Oryzias latipes: one gene and its partners. The protein of the gene in region 4 purifies or fractionates together with the protein of the main gene of each other region. This does not show direct contact. Links are inferred from orthologs where the notes say so. Each region holds a gene or a part of one and is shown on either strand. Other genes may lie near its edges. The genes, in order: rap guanine nucleotide exchange factor 1, gab1, gab2, crkl, sos1 and nedd9.

What was found.
Region 1: the proteins of crkl (region 4) and rap guanine nucleotide exchange factor 1 purify together in Homo sapiens (affinity purification with western blotting; 16 studies listed by BioGRID and IntAct, with this or other methods). This does not show direct contact. The link is inferred for Oryzias latipes from reciprocal best matches to the Homo sapiens genes CRKL and RAPGEF1.
Region 2: the proteins of crkl (region 4) and gab1 purify together in Homo sapiens (affinity purification with western blotting; 3 studies listed by BioGRID and IntAct, with this or other methods). This does not show direct contact. The link is inferred for Oryzias latipes from reciprocal best matches to the Homo sapiens genes CRKL and GAB1.
Region 3: the proteins of crkl (region 4) and gab2 purify together in Homo sapiens (affinity purification with western blotting; 3 studies listed by BioGRID). This does not show direct contact. The link is inferred for Oryzias latipes from reciprocal best matches to the Homo sapiens genes CRKL and GAB2.
Region 5: the proteins of crkl (region 4) and sos1 purify together in Homo sapiens (affinity purification with mass spectrometry; 3 studies listed by BioGRID and IntAct, with this or other methods). This does not show direct contact. The link is inferred for Oryzias latipes from reciprocal best matches to the Homo sapiens genes CRKL and SOS1.
Region 6: the proteins of crkl (region 4) and nedd9 purify together in Homo sapiens (affinity purification with western blotting; 4 studies listed by BioGRID). This does not show direct contact. The link is inferred for Oryzias latipes from reciprocal best matches to the Homo sapiens genes CRKL and NEDD9.

What each region holds. Positions count from the first base shown.
Region 1 is NC_019870.2:8,075,448-8,078,947, reverse strand, and holds part of rap guanine nucleotide exchange factor 1, read right to left. Parts: intron 1,875-3,500; coding exon 1,718-1,874; intron 1,617-1,717; coding exon 1,528-1,616; intron 1,446-1,527; coding exon 1,290-1,445; intron 339-1,289; coding exon 288-338; intron 1-287. UniProt on the Homo sapiens protein: Guanine nucleotide-releasing protein that binds to SH3 domain of CRK and GRB2/ASH. Transduces signals from CRK to activate RAS. Involved in cell branching and adhesion mediated by BCAR1-CRK-RAPGEF1 signaling and activation of RAP1.
Region 2 is NC_019859.2:18,118,041-18,121,540, forward strand, and holds part of gab1 (GRB2-associated-binding protein 1), read right to left. Parts: intron 3,389-3,500; coding exon 3,260-3,388; intron 1,856-3,259; coding exon 1,690-1,855; intron 1-1,689. UniProt on the Homo sapiens protein: Adapter protein that plays a role in intracellular signaling cascades triggered by activated receptor-type kinases. Plays a role in FGFR1 signaling. Probably involved in signaling by the epidermal growth factor receptor (EGFR) and the insulin receptor (INSR).
Region 3 is NC_019871.2:6,604,121-6,607,620, reverse strand, and holds part of gab2 (GRB2-associated-binding protein 2), read left to right. Parts: intron 1-50; coding exon 51-351; intron 352-3,500. UniProt on the Homo sapiens protein: Adapter protein which acts downstream of several membrane receptors including cytokine, antigen, hormone, cell matrix and growth factor receptors to regulate multiple signaling pathways.
Region 4 is NC_019870.2:17,501,609-17,505,653, reverse strand, and holds the start of crkl (crk-like protein), read right to left. Parts: upstream 2,801-4,045; 5' UTR 2,003-2,800; coding exon 1,692-2,002; intron 274-1,691; coding exon 1-273. UniProt on the Homo sapiens protein: May mediate the transduction of intracellular signals.
Region 5 is NC_019859.2:117,276-121,269, forward strand, and holds the start of sos1 (son of sevenless homolog 1), read right to left. Parts: upstream 2,801-3,994; 5' UTR 2,346-2,800; coding exon 2,259-2,345; intron 988-2,258; coding exon 862-987; intron 557-861; coding exon 425-556; intron 216-424; coding exon 51-215; intron 1-50. Other genes in the region: tmem178a (transmembrane protein 178A), read right to left, coding at 3,864-3,994.
Region 6 is NC_019869.2:19,397,688-19,401,187, forward strand, and holds part of nedd9 (enhancer of filamentation 1), read right to left. Parts: intron 2,310-3,500; coding exon 1,932-2,309; intron 1-1,931. UniProt on the Homo sapiens protein: Scaffolding protein which plays a central coordinating role for tyrosine-kinase-based signaling related to cell adhesion. As a focal adhesion protein, plays a role in embryonic fibroblast migration.

The DNA of each region.
Region 1 (3,500 bases), about 9.4 Mb from region 4:
AAACCGAAACACTCTAAGGGAGTCAATTTTAGGATTGGGGGGCAGGAGCGAACTCAAGCGACCACGATATGAAGACTTGCGAAATGACACGTCGTAGGTCAGTCACACACAGTCATGCACTCGACCACCCCTGATTGGATGATGGGCTCTCCAGGAAACAAGGACACAAACATTGGAAGGGGGGATGCAAACATGCAAGTCGACAGCTTTCATCCAATTCAGAAGCTTCATGGGGTTCGAGGGTGGGATGTTATTATGGAACTGGATGAACCCATGGGCTGACATACTTCTCCTTCTGAGAGGGTCTCCTTTGGCCAGCGTCAGCATTCAACTGCGCTCTGCTCCCAGAATCCAAAGGGAGACCAGGGATGAAAGAGACACATCACAAAGAGTGAGGAAGGAGGAAGAGCAACAGACAAAATGATCACGATTTTAAACCTCAAGTGTGATAAAGCCAAAATAATAAAGATCGGAAAAAAGATTAAAGACCCACTCTGATGAAAATTGTGTTTATGAAGTTTTTAACATGACATATATTAATAAAAGTAAGCGTAAAATTCCCAGTTCTGATTATTTATTTATTCAAAACTTATTTATTCTATGCTGTAAAATACGCTGGACAGTCCACAAACTCCATGCTCCACTCCATTCTGATGCATCCACCTGCAGACTAGATTAATGTACGTCTTTGTTTTTCTCCTCTGAGCTGGCATTTGGCTCCAAAGTATAGATCTGAATGGCTCTGATATTGCTAGTTATTTTTTTTTTTCCACCGGTGATGTTAGGTCGGGGTTGAGAAGGGCTTTAAGTTGGCAGAAGAACACGTAGACAGAACTACTTCTGCTCTGCAGAAACTATGCTCAAGAAAACAAAGCAGGGTTTTTTTGTTTTTGGCCAAAAACAGCATATTCAAAATATAAAAGACCGCTTGGAATGCTTCTAAAATAGATCAAAGACGATCAGTGTGGGTCTTTAAACAGAATTTTGCGTACGTTCTCTTAGACGTTTTTTTTTTGTGTGTGAACGAAATAAATGAAGGACCAACTCATGTGAGCACAACAGAAAGTAAAAAAAAAAGGGAAATCATGAATCCAGTCATTTCCTAAAAAGTTCCAAAAGTCCCCCAGAAAATGGACATGACTCCTAAGCACTGTGGGTAATCTTTCATTGAAGCTGCCTCCTAACTGAAACATTTGATAAACCACCTGAATCCACAAGTTTAGACTTCCGAAACGAGAACATGCAAAGAAAATGTGTAATATTTCTTCTCCACAATTCAACATCCTCACCTAAGCTCGGCAATTTTGGCTTCTGGAAGCGGGGGTTTGGGAGGGGCCACATCCTCATCTGCCAATTCAGGGGCAGACTCTGCAGGAGAAGCAGCTGGTGCTGCCTTCTTTGAGACTTCCTGCTCCCGATCTATTAGATGCGTCTCCGATGACACACTGTTGTGCACACAAAGCAGAGAGAGCGAGTTAATTAACTGCTCTGATTGAGTCTGCTCATCCCAGCATGCTTTGCTCTAACCTCTCCGCTGGGGCAACAGGTGGTGCCGGTTTGTTAGGGGTGGTGGGCGATGGCTGCTCCTGTTTCTCTATGGTCAGCTTCACCAGCTCCTATTTTTGAGACAGACACAGGCAGCTTCAGCCTTCTGAATGAATGCGACACAGATTGATGTTAACACGTCCTACAGGCTCTCTGGCAGGGAAAGGCCCACCTTGACTCCATCCAGCACTGCCTTGATGACACTGGTGACAGCTGCCACGTTCTCCTTGTCCTCCAAGTCGATGCCGTCCAGCATGACCTGGTCGGCCCAACGGATGAGGTTGCCCAAACTCTGGTAGACGCGGCTGTGGCAGGAAGTCAGCGCCGTACTATTGACGAGAGGGGAGACATCAATAAACAGGACGCTATTAAAACAATTGTAAGACAAAATGTGGCGAGATTGATTGACTGATTTAAAGCATTGTAGTCAATACAATAAAAAATTAAAATGCATAGATAGAAAAAAAACCACACACACTTGAGTCACATTTGCTTGATTAAATGTAGTGATCATAAACTAAAGTCAAGTAGAGCTTGATTTATTGCTTAAAAAGGAGTGGGAAGAAGTGATCTTATATAATAGCGAGTCAATTCTTTTTATAGTTTTACATAGATTTTGTAATCCGGTTCTGATGCGTTAGATTCTTTTCAAGTTACAAAATCAAGTGAATATTAATGATTGATTATCTTCAGAAAGCATTCATTCATGATTTCAGTAAACAGTAACTGTAACTTACATGAGATCAAGTGTGGAGAAAAGAAATGGATCAAATTAAAATTAATGCAAGATAAAGAAACAATTAAAACTGATGACGATTAAAGACAGGAAGCACTGTTTGTTAGTGGTGGATATTGTGCATGTAAGAACGTTGGAAATTTTGTTTGCGGTCTCTAAAAGTAGTTTGAGAGTGCATTCCATTTTTAAAAGAAGAGAGGAACATTATATCATAATAGGAGTGGTATTTTTATGTTTGAATTAAGCAGATAAAAAACTAATGTAAAATGGAGATGTCCTTCTGTTTTGGAACAAACTTTAGGAATATTTTGGTTAAATGTTTTATAGTAGTAAATACTGCGAAAACGTTTCGGCTATTGTTGAAAAGTCAAATAAGTGTGAGATACAAGCCAAATGAATGTGTGTATTAGCAAATATGCATGTTTTTGTGAATAGGCGTAGTATTTTTATTATATGTATGTGGCATAATTGTTACATTGATAATTCGGCTCTGTTGTTGCATGAACTGTAACCTTATTTTTTATGTTTATCGACAAACATAATGCTTCAGTCCCTTTTTTATGATTCCTATTTATGATTAAATAGGAAAGTGAAGTAGTGAAGTAGTGAACTGTGACGTTTTAAAGACCCACTCGGATTAGAAATTGTATTTCTGGTGTTTTTAGAAGGCTCTTGTTGCATTTTTCTGATGCATTGTTGCATTTTCTGATTTTTCGGCACCAGTAATGTTAGGTTGGGGGTGGTAGGGGTTGCTCTGCTCTTGGTCTTGCTCACAACTACTACACTGATTTTGGAAGTATTTTTTTATTTTTATTTTTTTAACTGAAAGTGACCAGAGAAGTTTTAGCCCACTGGATAGAATAGCTTTGCTGTCCGGACGCTCTCCCACTAGGCCACTGAGCTGGTAACACGGACAGCAGAAATGCACAGCTACAACGGTAGAGGTTAATATAAGCTCCCTTGCGCTAACAATAGAGAGTCTAAGCACTCGAGGAAGTGGGGTGTTGTTTCTCCCAGTAGCTGAGGGTACATTCAGACCTTAACACTAAGGTGTGGCAAAGGCCTGTATCAACATGCTGCAGCTGATTCACACACAGGGGGAATATCTTTCCACCGTCTCCACAGGGCTTAGCTCTAAAGTGAGTGGAAGACAGCTGAAGCTCTGGGAATTAGAAGGACTCTGTAGATGGAGACGCACAAGTTGTAATGCAGTTCAATG
Region 2 (3,500 bases), on a different chromosome or scaffold from region 4:
CTGGCATTTGTAGATTGTTGGGATATTTGGCCTGTATGTTTTGTTGTTTTTCTTCCCACACTAGATAAATACAGTTCCTCACCAAGGTCTGTGCTTTGTAACAGGGAGAGTTACCATATTTCCAATCTTTTAAAAAAAATGTCTGCTTGAGTTGTTCTCCTAAAATGTGAACAAAGATGACTGCTTATAATCCAAGCAATCCTATTTTTTGTTGTAAAACAAAAGCAGTTTTGAGTTAATAAAAACATTTCTAGTCAATTCCGGCACTTGTGTTCGCTCCTTTTTGCTATTTAGGTTTTGTGTAAGAATCTGCAGAGAAAAAAAAGGGGGGAATGCTTTTTTTATGTGTGTGAAAGTACTAATCTATACCACCTACACCATCTCTGAGAGCTTCCATTCCTCCAGCTTTCCTAATGTTCCTTCCTCTAATATCTGCTCGGCTCTGAAGCGCTCTGCGTGTAGTGTGGCCACACATTACAGAGGAGTGGGAGCTGGGTCTCACACACAGAGAAGTGCAAACAGAAAGAGAGCCAAGGACATTCTTTTACAATAACAGCCAAAGAGGCCTATCTGAAAAAAAAAATATGTCTCAATTTTTATCCTTGAAAAGTCTGTTAGCTTGTGCGTCTTTAAAGAGCCAATATGAAAAATTCTGTTCAAGAGGAGCTCAATGTTAGTATTTTTTTCCTGAACTTGAGGCATAGCTGCTGCAAGGATGACAGAGCACCATAACCAATGAGTCACTTGACAACTTTGACAAGTGTCCTCTTCTAAAAAGAACCTGTGCAGTCCCTTATGTCAAACCTCACTTAAAAGCTGATGCATTTTACTGCTAAGGAGCAAGAGAAATTGGAACTAGAAGAAAAAAAGGGCTGAAAGACTTATAAAGTACTTGGGGCTTTGATTATGCTAATAGCAAACAGAAAATATTTACAACTTTTATAGCAGAACTTGGAAATATTCAGCAGTGGCTCATTAACTCATACATGTTAATGGACAACAACAGAACTATGATTATATTTACCAATAAAAATAAAATAGCTAAAATGTCATCCATCTGGTGGGTTCCTAGGAGAAGTGGAGCTTGACTGTGTGGAGGAGTTCAAGGATCTCATATCACTGGACATATAGGTCTCCTTAAAAAAACATGTTCAAAGCACCAGCAAACTAAAGTCGGATTTTTAAAACTTTAGATTCATTTTCACATAAAGACTTTTGTATTACGATTTTTGCCCTATACTACAGACAATTAAAAGACGAAAAATGCTTGTTACAGTGCTCTTTGTGTATGCATTTTACCAAAAACTAACAAAAGGCCTGGTGCAGGATGGTAAGAAGTATTGTCAAACAACAACTTTTGAATAAAAAACTGTTGCTGAGGAGATTTCAAGTTTAGAGCAGCGAGTTATTAATTTCCCATAAATAAATAAATCCTGAAAGCTAAATGGAAAAAAAAATGTCATGTTGCTCTTTAACTCACATTACAAATGGTTAGGGAGTCGTTTTGACTTTTAAGTTTTTTTTTGGCTGATTAATAAAATAGCTAATGTTAAAACATTGTTTCTGCTTAACAATAATCAGTTTTGTTTACTGTAGAGTATTCAACTTCCCTGAAACGAACATTGACACAACAGTAACAGGACTTGTAATTGTTAGGAGTACAATAACGACTTATGGGGCAACGCTTACCATCGTCAGTGGGGTTAAAACCACAGATGTCACAGATGTGGCGAACCCACTTGTTCATTTCTTCCTCAGTGTCAGCCACCAGGTAAAAGACACGGTCGATGGTCTTAATGTCGAAAATGAAGCTGTGCTCCAAATCCTTCTTGCTAAACGTCAGCCCAGCATCAACCTAGGGTGAGACGTCAACAGAGTTTGTCTTACAACATAGTGGTTCAGTATCAAGGTGACTGAGTTTGATCTGTGTTAATAACAAAAAATACAGTTTGGTGAACAAGTCTTGGTTTTTTTGCCTGTTCGTTTAAGAGACTTAATTGTTTTTATGCTTTCAGTGGCCTTGCCCTGAACTCTGAGCTCTTACAGGCACACACCTCTCTCCCAGTCCCTTGGGTCAGCTAATCAGCTGCTCCTGGACATAGCAAAGGGCAACACTTACACTTCCTCCTTAAGCCTAATTCAGAAAGAAAAAAAAACAGAACTGCCCCCAGACTGTTTTTTAACACGTGCTAAAATAATGATTTTATCATTTTCATTTACTGTTTCAAAATTGTTTTTAAATTGTATGCAAGTGGTTTTACTTGAGTTTTTTAATTTTTTTGGGGGTTGTTTACTTTACCATGATGTTTTGTAGAGCTTCCCAAGTAACCATGAACCATTTTAACTACCATCACTTGTCAGAGATTCTCACTGGTTTTTGTGCATTTTAGGCATTGTGATATAACATCTTCCAGAAACTTTCTGACTCAGACTCTATTCTTGTTTTTCTAGGAGTCCTTTTCATTATGTTCAGGTACTAAGTCACTGCTAAGAAATGGTATTTAAAAAAAGTGGAGTGAGAAAACATGATTAGAATTAAAAACTACCCAGTGGTTAATACATTTTGCTGTTTGTTTTTACTATTTTCTTTTTACTTGAAATATTTTAGAATGATGAACTTAGTTCTGGATGATGCAACTATTGATTTTTTTTAAAATAAATGTTTAATTATTTCGTGTGTGCCAATTCTTTTGGTCCTCAATATTACATGAAAAGGTAACTGAATGAATAGAACATATAAATAATAATCATACTGTAAACAACTTTATAATGGCTAAAAGTAAAGATTTCCCTACATTTCTTGGAAGTTTTCCTTCTGTTTTCCCCCCCTCATTCTTCATCCATAAAACATTTAGCCACACAATTAAACTTTGAATAAATTAGGCTTTACTGTTGCAATTTTAGTTTTTTGAGTCATTTCTAAGTCATAGTGATTATATTGTGTATTATTTAGCTTAGTTAATTGATACTATATCTCTGGTTAAGTCCGAATCAACCCTTCACCCCACCCCCAGTTATACAAACAGCCTTACCTACCAAGTTATACTGAAGTTCCCAAGAAGTGTTCATTTTCACAAATATAATGGCTTACATAAATGTAAAAAAATGTGGAATGAACTATAAAGCTAGACTAGCAGGCTTTAAACAAACCCTCATTTAAGAAAGAAAAGAAAAAGAACGTAGCAAGTATCTCCACTGCATCTACAGCAAAACTGTCACAACACAAATCGAGTGTTTCCCATGGAACAAGGAGTAATACCTGCTCACACAAGTTGAGATCTATTACACGAATAGGCTTCTTGGTGTGGTCATTCTTGTAATACTCCAAGACGTCTGGGTCGCCTGTTAGACGGCCACTGCGAAGAACAAACCATCGCTTCTTCCATGCCTGCAGGGTAAGCACAAAAATGAGGCCAAAGGTTATACGCATGTTCTCACACTGACTGTTTCATTCCCAGATGACCACAAGCTGACCAAAAGCTTTATTTATGTCATTTTCA
Region 3 (3,500 bases), on a different chromosome or scaffold from region 4:
TACCCAACTAGTGCTCAGTCCCGTCTTTTTTTTCTCCATTTCATCTCCAGGCATGGAAGAAGCGTTGGTTCATTCTCCGCAGCGGCCGCATGAGCGGCGACCCAGACGTCCTGGAGTACTACAAGAACGACCACTCCAAGAAGCCCATAAGGGTCATCGACCTGCACTGCTGCGAGCAGGTGGACGCCGGCCTGACCTTTAAGAGGAAGGAGTTCCAGGACAGCTTTGTTTTCGACATTAAGACTTCCGATCGGACCTTTTATCTTGTTGCTGAGACTGAGGAGGAGATGAACAAGTGGGTCCGCTCCATCTGCCAGCTGTGTGGTTTTAACCAGGCGGACGACACTCACGGTAGCCACACCTGTGCCATACCTTTCATCTGTCCTCTGTTTGACCTGTTTTTGGTAACCTCATAAGCTCCTTGAATTACCATAACTCTTTGACCATTCACGCAATTAATGTAATTCCAACGGATTTGCAAGCAGCTTTTCCACTGTCGCACATCAACGAAAGCTCAGTTTCCATTGGAATTATGTTTATTGTCTGACCAGTTGAAGAGTTGCAGTAACTCAAAAAGCATCGACATCAGAACTATAGCTCCAGTATTGAAAGGTTTAACATAGATGCACCAAAGGTTCTTTATAATTTTGAGCTGTAGCCTAACACTCTACTCTTCCCCAACTTTTTCTAAGTATTTATAAAGATATTATTGATGCGTGTAGTACTTTTAATGTGGTTTTAACACCTCGACAGTCTGGTCTTCAAGTGTTGAAAATTCAGAGCGACAGTTCTGTGCAGACTTTGACAGAACTTCTGTCAAAGTCTGTGTAACAAATATGCCAGTTTCTTTATCTGTTATTTTGTATTGCAAAATATGTTGAGGTTCTTCATTATGACACTCTTTCTTCCTTTTTAAAAAAAAAAAAATTCTTGGAACAGTTGGCATCTTTATTGTCACACACTTTTAAGCAAGTGTTTGGACAAATGCTGACTCATCTTTTTACGATGTTTAAACATCCCAGGGAAACATTAAGAGAGTTTTTGGGGCTATTTTGGATTTTCTCTTCATTTATTTTGCTTAAATAGAATAGAAAGTACGTCACGCTTGCTAGAGAATATACTTGAACTCTTAATTAAGTATTTTTCCAGAAAAAAATTAGAAATGTTTTCCAGTATTGGTGCGATAGCTTCCAGACTGAAAACATAAAGATTTTTTTAAGAATTCACTCACTAACTCCGAACTCCTTCCATCCATTCATCTCCTGCATTTGCTCTATCTCTGTCGGGGTCACAGGGCTGCTGGAACCAACCAAGCTAATGTAGAGCAAAGACGGGATACATCCCGAACAAGTCACCAGTCAGTTGCAGCTCCCTTTTCCCCAAAAGCTTATATAGTGCCGGACTTTTCAGTCCCCAGGATTTGAATGCAATTCAGACACACTACTAATTTTTTCTTTTTGAATGCCAAATATGACGTCATCAATTTGACTTGCCATTGCAAATGACAAATTGTTCAAATGCAATGCATTGTGGTCTATATTTGCCACTCTAGTGGACACTGGTTTTTAGCAGAGACCTATGGGATATTTCTAGGGTACTGTGTTTCTGAATTGTGGATTTGGACACCCAGACAAAGTGGCAAACACCGTATAGCAGGGAGTGCTCCAAGCCTGGAGTTCTAGACCATGCCCCCCCCCCCCCCCCCCGCTATGTTGTGGTTTACCTTTTGCGGTTTTGTGGATATTTGTCATAGCTATTTTCCATGCCCTTTTTTTTATCTGCATGATCCTGATTGGCTGTGGACATTGTTAATCACTTTCCTCCGTGCCGCATCCCCTGTACAGGATGTTAAGTTTGCTAAACCTACAGAAATCAGATTTGCATAAAGTGTGTAGTGAGGAGTCTTACAGCCTTAAAACAGCTGTAATTCTACTTTGGGGATTTCACTTATTGTGGGTTATTTTTAGAATGGAACCACTGCAATAAACGAGGGACCGCTGTAACGCGTAACAATGGACTTCACCTCCTTGGTTAACTGGTATCTTTTGCTGTATGTAAACATAACCTGGGCCGATGACTCACTACTACAGACCTGAGCTCTTTGTCGTTGGGAGGCGTCGTGTGTGCTAACACTTTCCCTAAGCGTGTGATTATGGATCCATGTTGACAGTAAACAAAAATAGTTCACTGCATCCGCCCTTTTACCTAACGCCAGCAGTTTATCCACCTGCAAGATCCCGAGCATAAAGCCGGTGGTTGTGTAAACTCCAGAGTGTGTTCTTCTCATCCAGATTGCTTGCACGCTGCAGTCTTCCCGCCATCTGGCAGCTGGTGGACGTTAATCTTGGCGCACATGGTTGATCATCTGTAACATGCAATATGTCCAGGTGTGGACTTGAAAAACAGACACGGAGAGCGCAATGATCTTTCATCGTGATAAGATCCCCCCGGCCCATATTGAGTAATTAGCGAGGTGCTCCTGTAGATTTCAAACTGCATTAACTCAAGCTGGCAGGGTGTGGCTGCAGGAGGAGAGCTGCAGACGGAACTCGTGTCGTCCTTTTGCAGACAAATGTTTTGCTCTTTTCTCAGAGAAGCTTTGCTGTGTGTCCATCAAAAATGCATTTTCTTGAGAACTCGAGTTTCTTTTTCCTAGCATCCTTGTGTGTGTGTGTGTGTGTGAGCAAAAAACAAACAAACCACAAAGTACCACAAGTCTGGGTTTCCAAGCAGTAACACCATCTGAAGGCTCTTTTTTTAATCTGCAAACCAAAGCAAATGATTTCTCTGAGTGTACTCAGCATGATCAGAAAAATGTTAGAAATGCACGTCTTTGGGAGAAGATCGTTTAAAATAAACCTGTTGTTTTCTAAGAAATACAACTGTTAGCTGTTTGTTGGTTTGATTAGAGAGAAGAAGAAAAAAAATCTGTGTTTCGTCTTTCTGGTTTCCGTTCCATTTTCTGGTTGTAAATAGCCCCACAAACTGGAGACACTTTTTAAGTGCAACCCAAGTAACATGCAAGGTCTGCCTTGTGAGACCTGCTTTGCTCAAAAAAACTTTTAAGTTCAGTTTTCACCATGGATTGAATGGACTTTTAATGCAGATGATGTCTGCTTTTCATCTGCCTGCTCGTCTTTGGTGTTGGTGTTTTCAATGGTGATGGAAAGTGACGCTCATCCTCTTTCATGTTTATGTTCCCGCTGCTTTATTGTGATTTTTGTACATTACAGGAAAGCAAAACCAACCGAATGACTGAAACTTAACTGTCTGTGTTAATGCAAACAGACCCTGCAATGATCTGTATAGTGGAAGGTTTTCTTTACCTTACAATCACCCCACGCCTTTTTGATTTGAGCAAACAATACTTAATGTTAGAACTTTCTGGTCAATTGTCAAACACAAGAAGTCATTACTGTGTTTTTTGGGCATGCCTAAAAAAAGAAGTTCCAGTCACATAGCTTAAATGTATGTATCACTGCACTGGCTTCTTTAAAACA
Region 4 (4,045 bases):
TTGCGCGAGCCGTGGGAAGGCTGGCCAGGATGGGGGGAGGGTCGTACCAATTTCTCCACGTAGGGCACGGGGATCATCCCGACGCGTCCATCTTTATTTTTGGCACTCCACCATTGTTCCTCTGGCTTTTCCAAAATGATAAGGATCTCCCCTTTCTTGAATGGAAGGTCCTCCGCGTCACTACCAGTGAAGTCATATAGTGTCCGCACGTACTCAAAGTTATCCTCTGGACCAATCATAGACTGGACCGGACCACCAATAGTGCTTGGGTACCTGAAAAGATATGACCCAACTGAAATGTTTTGCGTAGAAGAGTGTATCAATGGTTCCTTGTTAACCCTTTAATAGACATGAAACAACACATGCTCTTCAAACTACTGTAACTCTTGGACCATTTACCCAAGTAACAAAATTCCAACAGATTCTACAGTTGAGAAAACTGGCTAAAAATGCACTGATGCTTGCACTATACATGCATCAGTTTGTAGTGAAGTGTGCAGATAATAAGTGCATTATTGTTATCTTTTCCATTAGTATGATCTCCTTTAGAGATTAAACGTTAGTTCTTGGTCACGTACTATGTTAAAAAGTGCGACTTAAACTCCAGTGTGACTAATAGATGATTTCCCCCCTTCCTTATGATGTATTGTTTAGCTGCTGCAACTTATAGTTCAGAACATATGTTAATTGCCTAAACGGTTGAAGAGTTACTGTAATTCAAGACCATCAACACAGCAGCTAAAGTTACGGTGTCAAAGGGTTAAGAAAGGTATCATCTGCATGAAGTGCACTAATGCCTTGGTGTGTAAGAGTGTGTAAAAACACTAGAATACACACGCAAATGTACTATACCCTACAGGGGTGTAACGATCAATTGCCTTAAATGATTTCCAGATCGATTTATCTGTTGTTAATAGAATTGATCTATACCATTATTAAATTATTTCAAAATGACCTTCAAATCGATACAGGAAAATACCATTTGGATTGTTTATTTTTCTATAACGTAAAAACGACCTTGAGAGAGGACAACAAACGTGATAGCGGCAAAATAAATAAATAAATAAAATAAAAAAAGATCAGTCCATCGTTCCAGTTCAATTTAAGGAACTACTATGAATTTAGCTAAGACGTCACCATTCAGTGTGGTAGAATGTTCTAAAAATGGCCTTTGTATTATTCTTATGTGGAAAAACAAAAGTGGGCTGAACTTTGTTAGACTAAAATACATTTGCCATTAATTGTTGTTTACTTGTTTGTTTGTTTGTACACATATTTAATTTACACCTGATTATCTTCCAAGAAAGACAGGGAATCTGGAAGATTTCACCTGCACTGTTGAGTATCCAAGTATTTATCTCTGAGTCGAACTGGTTGAAATTTTGGCGAAATATGTCATGGTGGATTGATTTCAGGTCAGTGGATGATCGGATCATTCAAAATGAATCAATATCGACTATGAATCGGGTTGGCAACTATGAATTATGATACAAATCGAACTGTTACACCCCCTAATGTCACACACAGTTGTGTACAGATCAGGCTAGTTATTCATGAACATCTTAGCTAATGTTAAAACAAACTCAACAGGAACTGTCCAATAACATGCTAATTCAACGACATATTTGCTGAGGAATAACAGAACAGAAAGTGGTCGTCTACCGGGATGCTGGAAGACGTCACGATCGTACCTGGATGCTGGTTCTATTAGCGTTGTTGTGTCCAGGTAATGGATTTTGTAGAACTCCAGAAGGGCTGGGAGGTTTTCGAACTCTTGATCTCCTATCTTGAACCTCTTACTGGGCAAAGAGTTGATGATATAGTGAGATACTTTGGAGTTTTCGGACACCGACAGCACGTAGTCCCCGGGACAGGTGGACGAGTCTCGCACCAGAAACATGCCGTGTCTCTGCCCCTGTAACCTGTTCTGCGCCTCCTGTCGCGACACTGGTCCGAAATACCAGGCCGAGCGATCAGACGAGTCAAATCGGGACGCGGACATTTTAAAAAAAATCTTTAAAAAATAAGTTAATATAAAGAAGAAAATGAGAACTATTGAATAAGTTAGATTCAAACGGGCCTATCGCATCCAGCTGCAGTACTTGGCAGATGCGGGGTAGGGCGTTCGTCGCCCGAGGACCCGATTAAAACAAATAAACAAAAGATCAACCTGACGTTTTCAGCGACAGGCTGCGACCGACCTGCTGATCCAGCCCGGGAGCATAATGTGACGAGCAGCTAACGGCCCCGAAACGGACGAACATCGACGGAAACTGAAGCAACAAATGATCAATAAAGCTTCCTCTCGTTGTTCCGCCTTCCGCGAAAACTCACAATTATTTAGCTTCAGTTCAGTCAGTGTCAGTTACGAGAACGGAAAGGGTGGCCTCAGGCGCGTTCCATCTCCATGTTTGCAACTAAAAACAAAAATTGTGACAGCGTAGAGAAAGAAAATACCGACTCTGTATCCTCTTGGTGTCACAAAAAGGCGGACGTCACGGAATTGGGGTGTTTAACTCCCCTTTCTCGGGTCGGAGTAGACTTTTGAGGGGGGGAAAAATGGCGGCTCGCAACACGTCTTCACACCAAAAAATGATATGACGGCCGCCGCGTGTCTGCTGCGCTCCAGTTCTCGCGTGCATTCCTCGAGTGCCCGCGAGAGATCCAGGCGTGCCGGTTCCGTGCGATATCCGTTCTCTAATTTCAGCGGGTCCCGCTTGTTTCAGCCAGCAGAAAGCGCAAGCAGGACACGGGAAAAATGGCGACGGGAGGGCTGGTCCCGCTTTCTATCTGCACGTCACGGAGGGGAGCAGGAGAGGAAGGGGTGGGGCCGTGGGCGGAGGAAAAGGTGGGCGAGTGATGACGTTTCTGGCGGGCCCACTTTGATGTGTCACTGTTGTCATTTCATGTCCCTTGCTTTTATTATTGTGAGTAAAAAAAAAGTGTGTTCATTAATTTGTTTCGGATGCCCTTGTCTATATATTCTGTAAAACTGTTCATTTTCAATAAAGTTTTCTTTTTTAATGTGCCGGTTTAAGTTTTCTTTTCTTTTTCTTCCTATTCCATTTTAGACCTGACAAAACACCAACCAAAAGATGTGCGGCCAAATTTTCAATGATCGCACGGCTAATAAACAAAAGGGAATCGTGTGAAGCAGGAGTTCCTCCATTTAACCACCATGAGCAGGGCCAGAGCTACAGGGGGGCAGAAGGGGGCAGTTGCCCCCAACCAATTTTTGAAACAGTATTATTATTTTCACAAAGATTAAGAAATCATTAATGCAAGCTTTGTTAGTAATGGCACCTCAGCAAAAAAAAAAAATGCAGTGTTGTTATTAATAACAATAATAAAACTATGAAACATGGTTAACCCTTTCATTTGTAATGGCCTTCCTCTCTGCTTATCACATTTGCCACCCAATTAAAGTCTACTGCCCCCCCATATGAAATGTTTTAAATCCACCACTGATCATAGACTAGGCTACTATTCTGAAGTAAATAAGAGAGAAAAAATAACTTAATAAAACCAAACTACTCAAATATTGTGTGAGAAATGTCACAGTATACCAGGGGTCTGCAACCTTTGGGCTGATTTTTCTCTGACGTAAACCTGGCAGGAGCTTCAGTAGAAAAGTACATCAGTGCTTTGTGTTTGTTACTGTTATTTTTATGCTAAATAGAAGTGAACCATTGTTTTTGTTGGTTTTAGCCTGAATTCATCCATCCATGCATTTCCTAAACCTGCTGAATCCCTTTCAGGTTCAGGGAGTTGCTGAATTTGTCAGAGATTTTAAAGCAAAAATTTTTAGCTACACTTTCAAAACTCCTTATATCTTAGTGCTTAGATATTTTTTATGGCTGATACCTCTGCAGATGTGTAGCTTTATAATAGACTGAGATATAGACTCGCTAAAATGAAAAAGCCCGTTTTCTCTGTTAAGTATCTCTAAAGGAGAAAAAAGCATGTTTCTCTTATTTCATTTCCTGATGTTTCTTAACTTCCCCTTTCACTCGATCTTAATGTATATATGGTCTGGAATTGGACG
Region 5 (3,994 bases), on a different chromosome or scaffold from region 4:
CTCAGCGTTCGTCAGGTGTTTCTAGAACGGCGTGGGGGGTTAGAATGTACCTTGTCCGCACACATGGCCACAGTGATGTCCTGCTTGGTGATGTCATAGTGGCGGATATTTCTTACATAGTTTCCTGCAAGTTTTAGGATGTCAGCAGAGATGTACTCCAACACAGCTACCATGTACACGGACACCTGGTGCTCAATCTTATAGCCCAGAACCTCCTGAACACAATGCATGATGGGAGACAGAGAGATGCAAAAGTCCTGAGATCTTTTCAGTGCTCCAAACCGCGGCCCGCTTCCCCAAACTTTCTACTCTGTGGAAGCCAACAGCAAAGCTTCTTCCTGAAGACGATTCTGTCTGAGAGTCAGAGTTACTGATAAACATGGACAAGAGCGGAGGATGGAGAAAACACTGACAGGACGGTTACCTTCAGCAGGGGATGGATCTTATCAACCGGCAGAGACAGAGGGTTCCTTCTCTTCCTTTTCTCGATGGCCGCCTGAGCATCTGCAATCGCCCACTTGTCGATAGGATAAGGAAAACTCTTCTGGACCCTCTCCTAAGACAACCGACAGAAGGTGTGAGGACCAAGTGACCTGACCTGCAGGCTTGACCTCACTTAGGTGACTAAAGGTAAGAGGGTTTGTTTCCAGGTTTCAGCATCCCTAAGCCTGTAGGTCTGAATCATTGGTGGAGATTTCAAGGGCTTGTTGGTGGAACATGCATGTGGCCACGGCAAACGTGTGCACGTGTGGATGGGTGCAGGTGTGCACGTGTGTTTGTGTGCACATGTATTTCTGTGCATGTGTGTATCTGTGTATGTGTGCATGCGTGTATCTGTGCATGTGTGCACGTGTGCGTCACCTCCACGTCCTGCACTGTGCGAGGCTGGGCCTGACACAACATGCTGAGCAGCAGCAGGATCAGCTCTTCGATGTACTGCAGCGCCTCCTGCTGGGACTTCAGGTTGGGGTGTACCTGGTTCAGTACCTGCAGCGTGCAGCCACACACACAACGTTTGATCAATAATTAAACAAAACGAAATGACAGAGCAGGTTTGATCAGAACAAGCAGAAACACAGGCCTCATGGATATGTGCTGCCCCCCAGTGGAGGAGGACAGAAAGACACCTTTCTCTCTGAGTTTCTGTTGGTTTTAGCTTCTTCTGTGTTTCTTTTTTTTAATTTATGTTCACCAACAGGCCGAAACCCACTTATGGGCGACGGTCAGACTCTACACCGGGTTCAGGTCTGCATGCTGGTCCCACAGGAACCAGGTAAAGACCAGACCTGCTGCTCCTTTCATGCAGCTAAGAAGACCTTCTCTGGAAATGTTCCCGTCCAGAACCACAGCTGATGATCACAAACAGTTATTTTAGTCCAGTTTTAAAGTCGTTTAATCATAATTTAACCTTTTGGGTTTTAAATCCCATTAAATTAATACATGCAGGAGTCCAAACATCTGTCCTGACCCAATAGAACATCATCTGAACCCAGGAGACCTCAGTCCATCCAACCTCCCACATTTCCACCTGATGCACCGCTGGCAGTAGAACCAGAACCAACACAGAAACCATGAGCGTTACAAACCAGGTCCACATGGTGGTAGACCGTGTTGTGGGTCAGAAACCTGTCATCATTCTTTGAGTTCCTGTTGTAGTTTCTGCCTACCAGCTGGACTCTGCCATCATTAAATGGATCTCTCAGGACGCGGGCCTGATGACAGCGGTCAGAGGTTCTGATGGTGAGCAGAACTTATGAAACATGGATCCAGAGGGTCAGAGGTCAGCCACCTGGAGCGCTTCTACCCGGTCCAACCCACAACTTTGGAGGTCCAACAAAGAACTCTGGGACAGTGAGGAACAGATTTGCAGAGTGTTGATCTTCTAAATCACAAGAGAACCACATCAGTCCAGGTCGGATCGGGACTGAAGTGGTCCAGGTCGGATCGGGACTGAAGTGGTCCAGGTCGGATCGGGACTGAAGTGGTCCAGGTCGGATCGGGACTGAAGTGGTCCAGGTCGGATCGGGACTGAAGTGGTCCAGGTCCGATCGGGACTGAAGTGGTTCAGGTCGGATCGGGACTGAAGTGGTCCAGGTGAGCTGGAAGAGTCCAGAACCTGTAGCCTCCGGGGAGCAGGCAGACCCCGCTGCCCCCATCTGACGTCAGCCGTCCTGTCACGGAACGGCCCGGCTTACCTGCAGGGCCACACCTGGCTGCAGCAGCCGCCTACGTGCGTGCGTGCGTGCGTGCGCACCTACCTTCTCCAGGGAGGGCACCAGCAGGCCTCTCCACCGCGGAGCGTTGTCCTCGCTGCAGAAATCGAACTGCAGCTGGCCCGTCTGCATGCTCACACGCACGCGGCTCCGTTTGGCGTGAATTCTGTGCGCGGCTTTGCGGGTCCAGCTGCGCGGCTGAAGCCGGGGGCCTCACGACGTCCGGGATCCGCCGGGACCGCCGCCACCATCCTCGGCTAACCGTTAGCTCCGCGGCTAGGAGCTAGCTGGACCGGGCGGAGGGCATGGCTTGCTGCGCGCTCCCGGGCTGCGCGCTCCCAGCACAGGCTCGCCGGCGGCGGGAGGGAGGGGGTCTCTGCGTCGGTTACTGGGCGCGGAGGGGGGGGTCAGCGGAGCAAACGGCGCGCCGCGGCTGTCATGTCACCGTTGCGGCTGGGGGGGGGGGCTCCAGTGCGGCGCCTGCGGGTGGGGGCCGCGTGACACCCGGTCTGTCTCAACCAGGATCCGAACCGGAAGGTCGGACGGTCACCTGCTGACGGCTGCAGCGCTCCGGAGGACCGAACCGAACATGGCGAGATAGTGAGCATGCGCAGTGGGTAGTTGCTGACGTTCAGGGGCGGGGCTGCTGTAGAGCGGAGAATCAAACTGATCTGATGGGAATCGGACCACCGGAACATAGGAGCACGTGCAGGTCAGAACTCAAATAATAAACTCTGTCCTGATGTACGTTTTTGAAGGTTAGAAACAGAACCGGAACCAGGACTGACCTTGATCTGGGTCGGGGGGGTCGTAACAACCCCCCTCCGCCCCCATTAGCTTCAAAGTTCCAGAGTGGAGTCTGATTTGAAGATTCAACACTCAGAACCAGAACCAACTGAGGGACTCCGTACCAATGAGAAGAAACCACTCTGAGATCAGGTGGGCTTCAAGTATTTTATTTACAAATGGGGGGGGGTCAAGTGGTGTGTGGGTGGGGGTCAGGTTAAGTGGTATGGGGGGCCCTGTTCGGACCTTCTTACCTGCACTAAGGAGGTGTCTTGATCACCTTTACAAAAATCTGGTGCTGTTGAGTGAAAAAGGTTTGGACACATCTAAGTTCTGCTGACTTTTCAATGGACCGGACATGGGGATCACGACCCCCCCCCCCCCCCCATGTGTCTCCCACCTGTCTGTGGCCTGATGGGGGGGCTGAAATGGATCTGGGCTCATCTGGAGCCAAAAACTGCGCCTCCATGCAGTCAGAGAGGAGGCTCCATCATCGGACCTGAACCCGCCCCTCAAGATTCAAACTCACCAGATCTTCACCTGTGATCACACCTGTGTAAAAACCGCAGGGGGGGGGGGTCAGCCAAAATACATAATTTCACAATGAGAAACGGTCACTGGCTAACAGACACTGTAAGACCCGTCCAAGCCGGGTCGGACGGCGGTTCCTCTGACACTACAAACACTGTTCCTATCGAAGACACCCAGAAGGGGGCGCCATGCTCCACAGAAGCTTTGCAGCAGAGGTATGAGTCCTCTTGAGGTTCTCCCTCAGCAAGAGTCCAGAAGCCAGTGTAAATAAAACCTCTGCAGCCCAGTCTGGACCACGTCTCGGAGTCCGGTGTCCTGCTGATCACCAACAGCTCACACAGAAGATTCCCGTGCAGTTTTGGACCTCAGAGCTCGGGCCCGGTTCAGGAAGGGGAAGGTGGTAGCAAGGCAGCCGGCAGCCACGGTCAGACCCAGACTTGTCCAGGCGAAGTAGATGGACCAAC
Region 6 (3,500 bases), on a different chromosome or scaffold from region 4:
GAGGAGATGCACGCCAATAAGAACAGCGTCAAAGGAAGCCATCCAGGTTTCCTGCCTCGAGGCGGACTTTTGTCACCCCCCCCCCTCCCATGCGCTCCCTGGATGCTTATCAGCACTTCCTCTATCTCTTGAGCTTTTGTTAAAGCAGAAAGTCTTTATGGCACCAATAAGCAAACCGATCTTTGAGGAGGAGACCAAACAAGGAGCAGAGGTAGGAGACCAGGGGTCAGAGAGGGGGGGGTCTGGAGGGAGCAGACAGGACCGGCTGTCATTGTCATCGCCTCAGTTAAAAAAAGAAAGAAGGGTGGCCAGATAGCCTAGAATTACACACCTTTCAAAGCTGCAGACCCCCCCCCCATCCCCATCTCTCCAAAAGGGGAGGAGTATCTCTCTGTGCATCCAGAGAGTGGAGCTCAGAGGGGGGGGGGCTGTTACATCAAACCCAACAAGCTGAGAGGCGGCGAGTGCCAAACCTCAGATACCTCTGTGTGCTAGAACCTCTGCCAGGAAGAAAAATAAGCAGGCGGGGGCCAACGTGTGACCTGGAGGACCCAAGAGCATCACGTCACAAAAGAAACCAGTTTTTGAGGGAGGGAGGGAGGGAGGGAGGGAGGGAGGGAGGGAGGGAGGGAGGGAGCACTGTGGGTCCGGTAATGGGACTCAGAAATCAAATCAAGAAACTTAAAAAACAGTGAGCAGAGAAGCTCAGAAAAGTCAGAAATGTCTGGATGGAAAAAAGAACCATCATTTCCTTCCTGGAGATCAGATGAGCTCATGCTCTTTGAATGTTGCATCTTGGGCAATCAAGATGAGGCGCTCCTGCCAGAAAATGGAAAGTTTGTCATGCACCTCCCTTTTTACAACTTCAGTACGTAGATGATTGGCCCTGCTACCGCCGTGACGAAAGGCTGTTTGGACATTAGGTGTACGGGTTACCACGTGACTTCATTCATCTCCTGAAGGCTGATCAGCAGGAAACACACCTGCTGACAGCATGATGATGTCAGCATCAATAGATCATCATGCCTCCATAATTAGTTTTAGAGCTGACTCAGGGAATAGCAAAAAAAAAATCATTTTTTCTGCACCAGGTGAGGCAGATAAACATCTGGATTGGAAAATTCCACATATTATTTACTTTGTAGCCAAAATTTAATGTTAGTCTTTTTATTCATTTACATCTGAGCCAGTTTCCTGTAAAATTTGACAACACTATTGCCTCAAAGCAAGCTCTAAACAGGAAGAAAATACAAAAAAAGCGACTTGTCCTCTGACCAGCATACAAATAAGAGCCTGCAGCATCTCGCTACACCAGTAGAGATTACACAGTAGAGATTTTTAAACTTTTCTATGACTCCTGATTCTTCAGATTCACACTGTCGTTGTTTTTTGTGTCCTCCAAAGACACAAAAATGTCTCTCTTTGGTTCAGTGGAAAGTCTGCTTGCATGAACCAGAGACGTTCGAAGGACTCAAACCAGGAGTCTAGCATGATGCATTCATAGATCAAAAGCTTGAACCAGTTTAACATTTAAATTCTTTAAGGAAAGTGACATCTTTACACAGGAACTCTGGGAAATTGGAGTTTCCTTGCAAGGTTCTCAGGATTGAAGAAGCCTGAGTAGAGAGAGGGGGCTCTGCTTCACCAAACTAAACAGATCTGCTGTTTGCTTTTCCACAGCTGCCGCTCACATTTGCTGCCTCTCTGCAGCTCAGACTCGCTCTGCAGCGCACAGGGCGCCAACGCACCACCACCGGAAACGCCGCTGTGGTGAGTGTTGGCCCACAGCTTCTGCCTGGTCACAACTCCACCTCCCTTTATGGCCAATGCAGAGAGGGAGGCTACGCCCACTATGTTTGTTTGCCCACTTTATGCAAAAAAAATTCCAAGTTTCAGCAAAAAAAGCAAAAGAATTTTAGGTTCTGTCCTACCTTGTTGGGTGTGTTCTCGCCGCAGAGACCCCCTCGCGGTGGGACCTGGTAGACACTCTGCTGCTCTTGTGGGACCTGGTAGACATTTTGCTGCTCTGGTGGGACCTGGTAGAGCCCCTGGGCCCCTGCCCCACCTCTCTGCTGGTGGCCCTGAGGGGGAGACGGAGTGGCTGACGACGGGGCCTCAAACATGGGTCCGATGAGTAGCTTCAGGCGGTTTCCGGGGGCAATGCCCTGGCGGCCGTGCAGGGAGCAGAGCCACCAACCCTCAAGTCCCCCTGTGTTCTGCTCAATGACAGTCAAGATGTCCCCCTTCCGGAAGGCCAGCTCCTCAGGGGACTCCGGCACGTTGTCGTACAGCGCTTTGGCCATCAGATTCTGCAGAAAGGGGGAGGGGCTTAGTTTTTGATGCAGTTTACAGACTTGGATCACAGCCCGAGGGCAGCTCAGCATTCTCAGTGAACATGTGACTGGCTGCTGAGATAATCACCACAATCTGCAGATACCATGATGATAACTCTGGAGCCACCATCATGAATTCTCCTTCTTCGGCTCATTTCATGCACGCTCCATTTACCACCATTAGGACATAATTGACTAGCTCAAGGGTACATCAACATGAGGAGCAGGAAAGTGATCTTTCAGCAAACAACCAACGACTCTGCAGCAGCATCGACGCTAAACCGACACCCGCCTCTCCACAGAGGTCTTCATGGTAGAAAAATCCAAGGTGAGGTGACGGATGCAGATGAAACTGCTCACTTTTAATCCCCAGCAGCTGTAATCTCTCAGATGGATTAAAGTCCAGCATAAACAAACTGCAGAAAAACAGAAATGTAATTCCATTATAGACTCAATGCCTGTTCTACTTAGTGCACAGACCTGCTCATACGATTGAACCTCTGACACAGACACTGAACAATTGTTTGTGTTTCCTCAAAATCCTGCCATGTTTGTCTTTTGTTAACCTTTGGATTTATGTTGGCTGACTATACAGCACCTGACAGGAAAACTGGATACACCTGATCTATTTCAGAAAATACTGCAACTAAATTCAAGGTGGAGACTGTGCCGACTCTCTCTGTCCAACCTCCTGCCAGTACGAACTAGGAGAACTTGCCCTGCTGATAGTTTTACAACAAATTCATTGTTTGATGAAAAAGTGCCAAAATCAGGAGACCGGTTCTTTGGTTTGACATTCGGTTAAAAACATTAAAACAAGACTCAAGAAACTTATAAGAAAGTTTGGATCCATAAACATAAAACACATCAACGTCATCTGGAAAGACAGTTTGATGGTTTATAAGAAAATGTTGGTTCACATTTTCCTATGGATTAAGACTCATCGTTGTGTTGGTTTGAGGGTTCATGTAGAACCTAGAATCCCAAACTCAAGTCTAGATTGAGACTCATACTTCTGTTGGTTCAGATTCATGTAGATTCAGACTTATAGTTCTGTAGCCCATGGGTCCGTGGGTTCGTCTGTGTCTCTCGACAATCTAGATCAGGGAAGGGCAACTCCAGGCCTTGAGGGCCGCATTTCTGCACGTTTTCCAACAAACCTTGCTC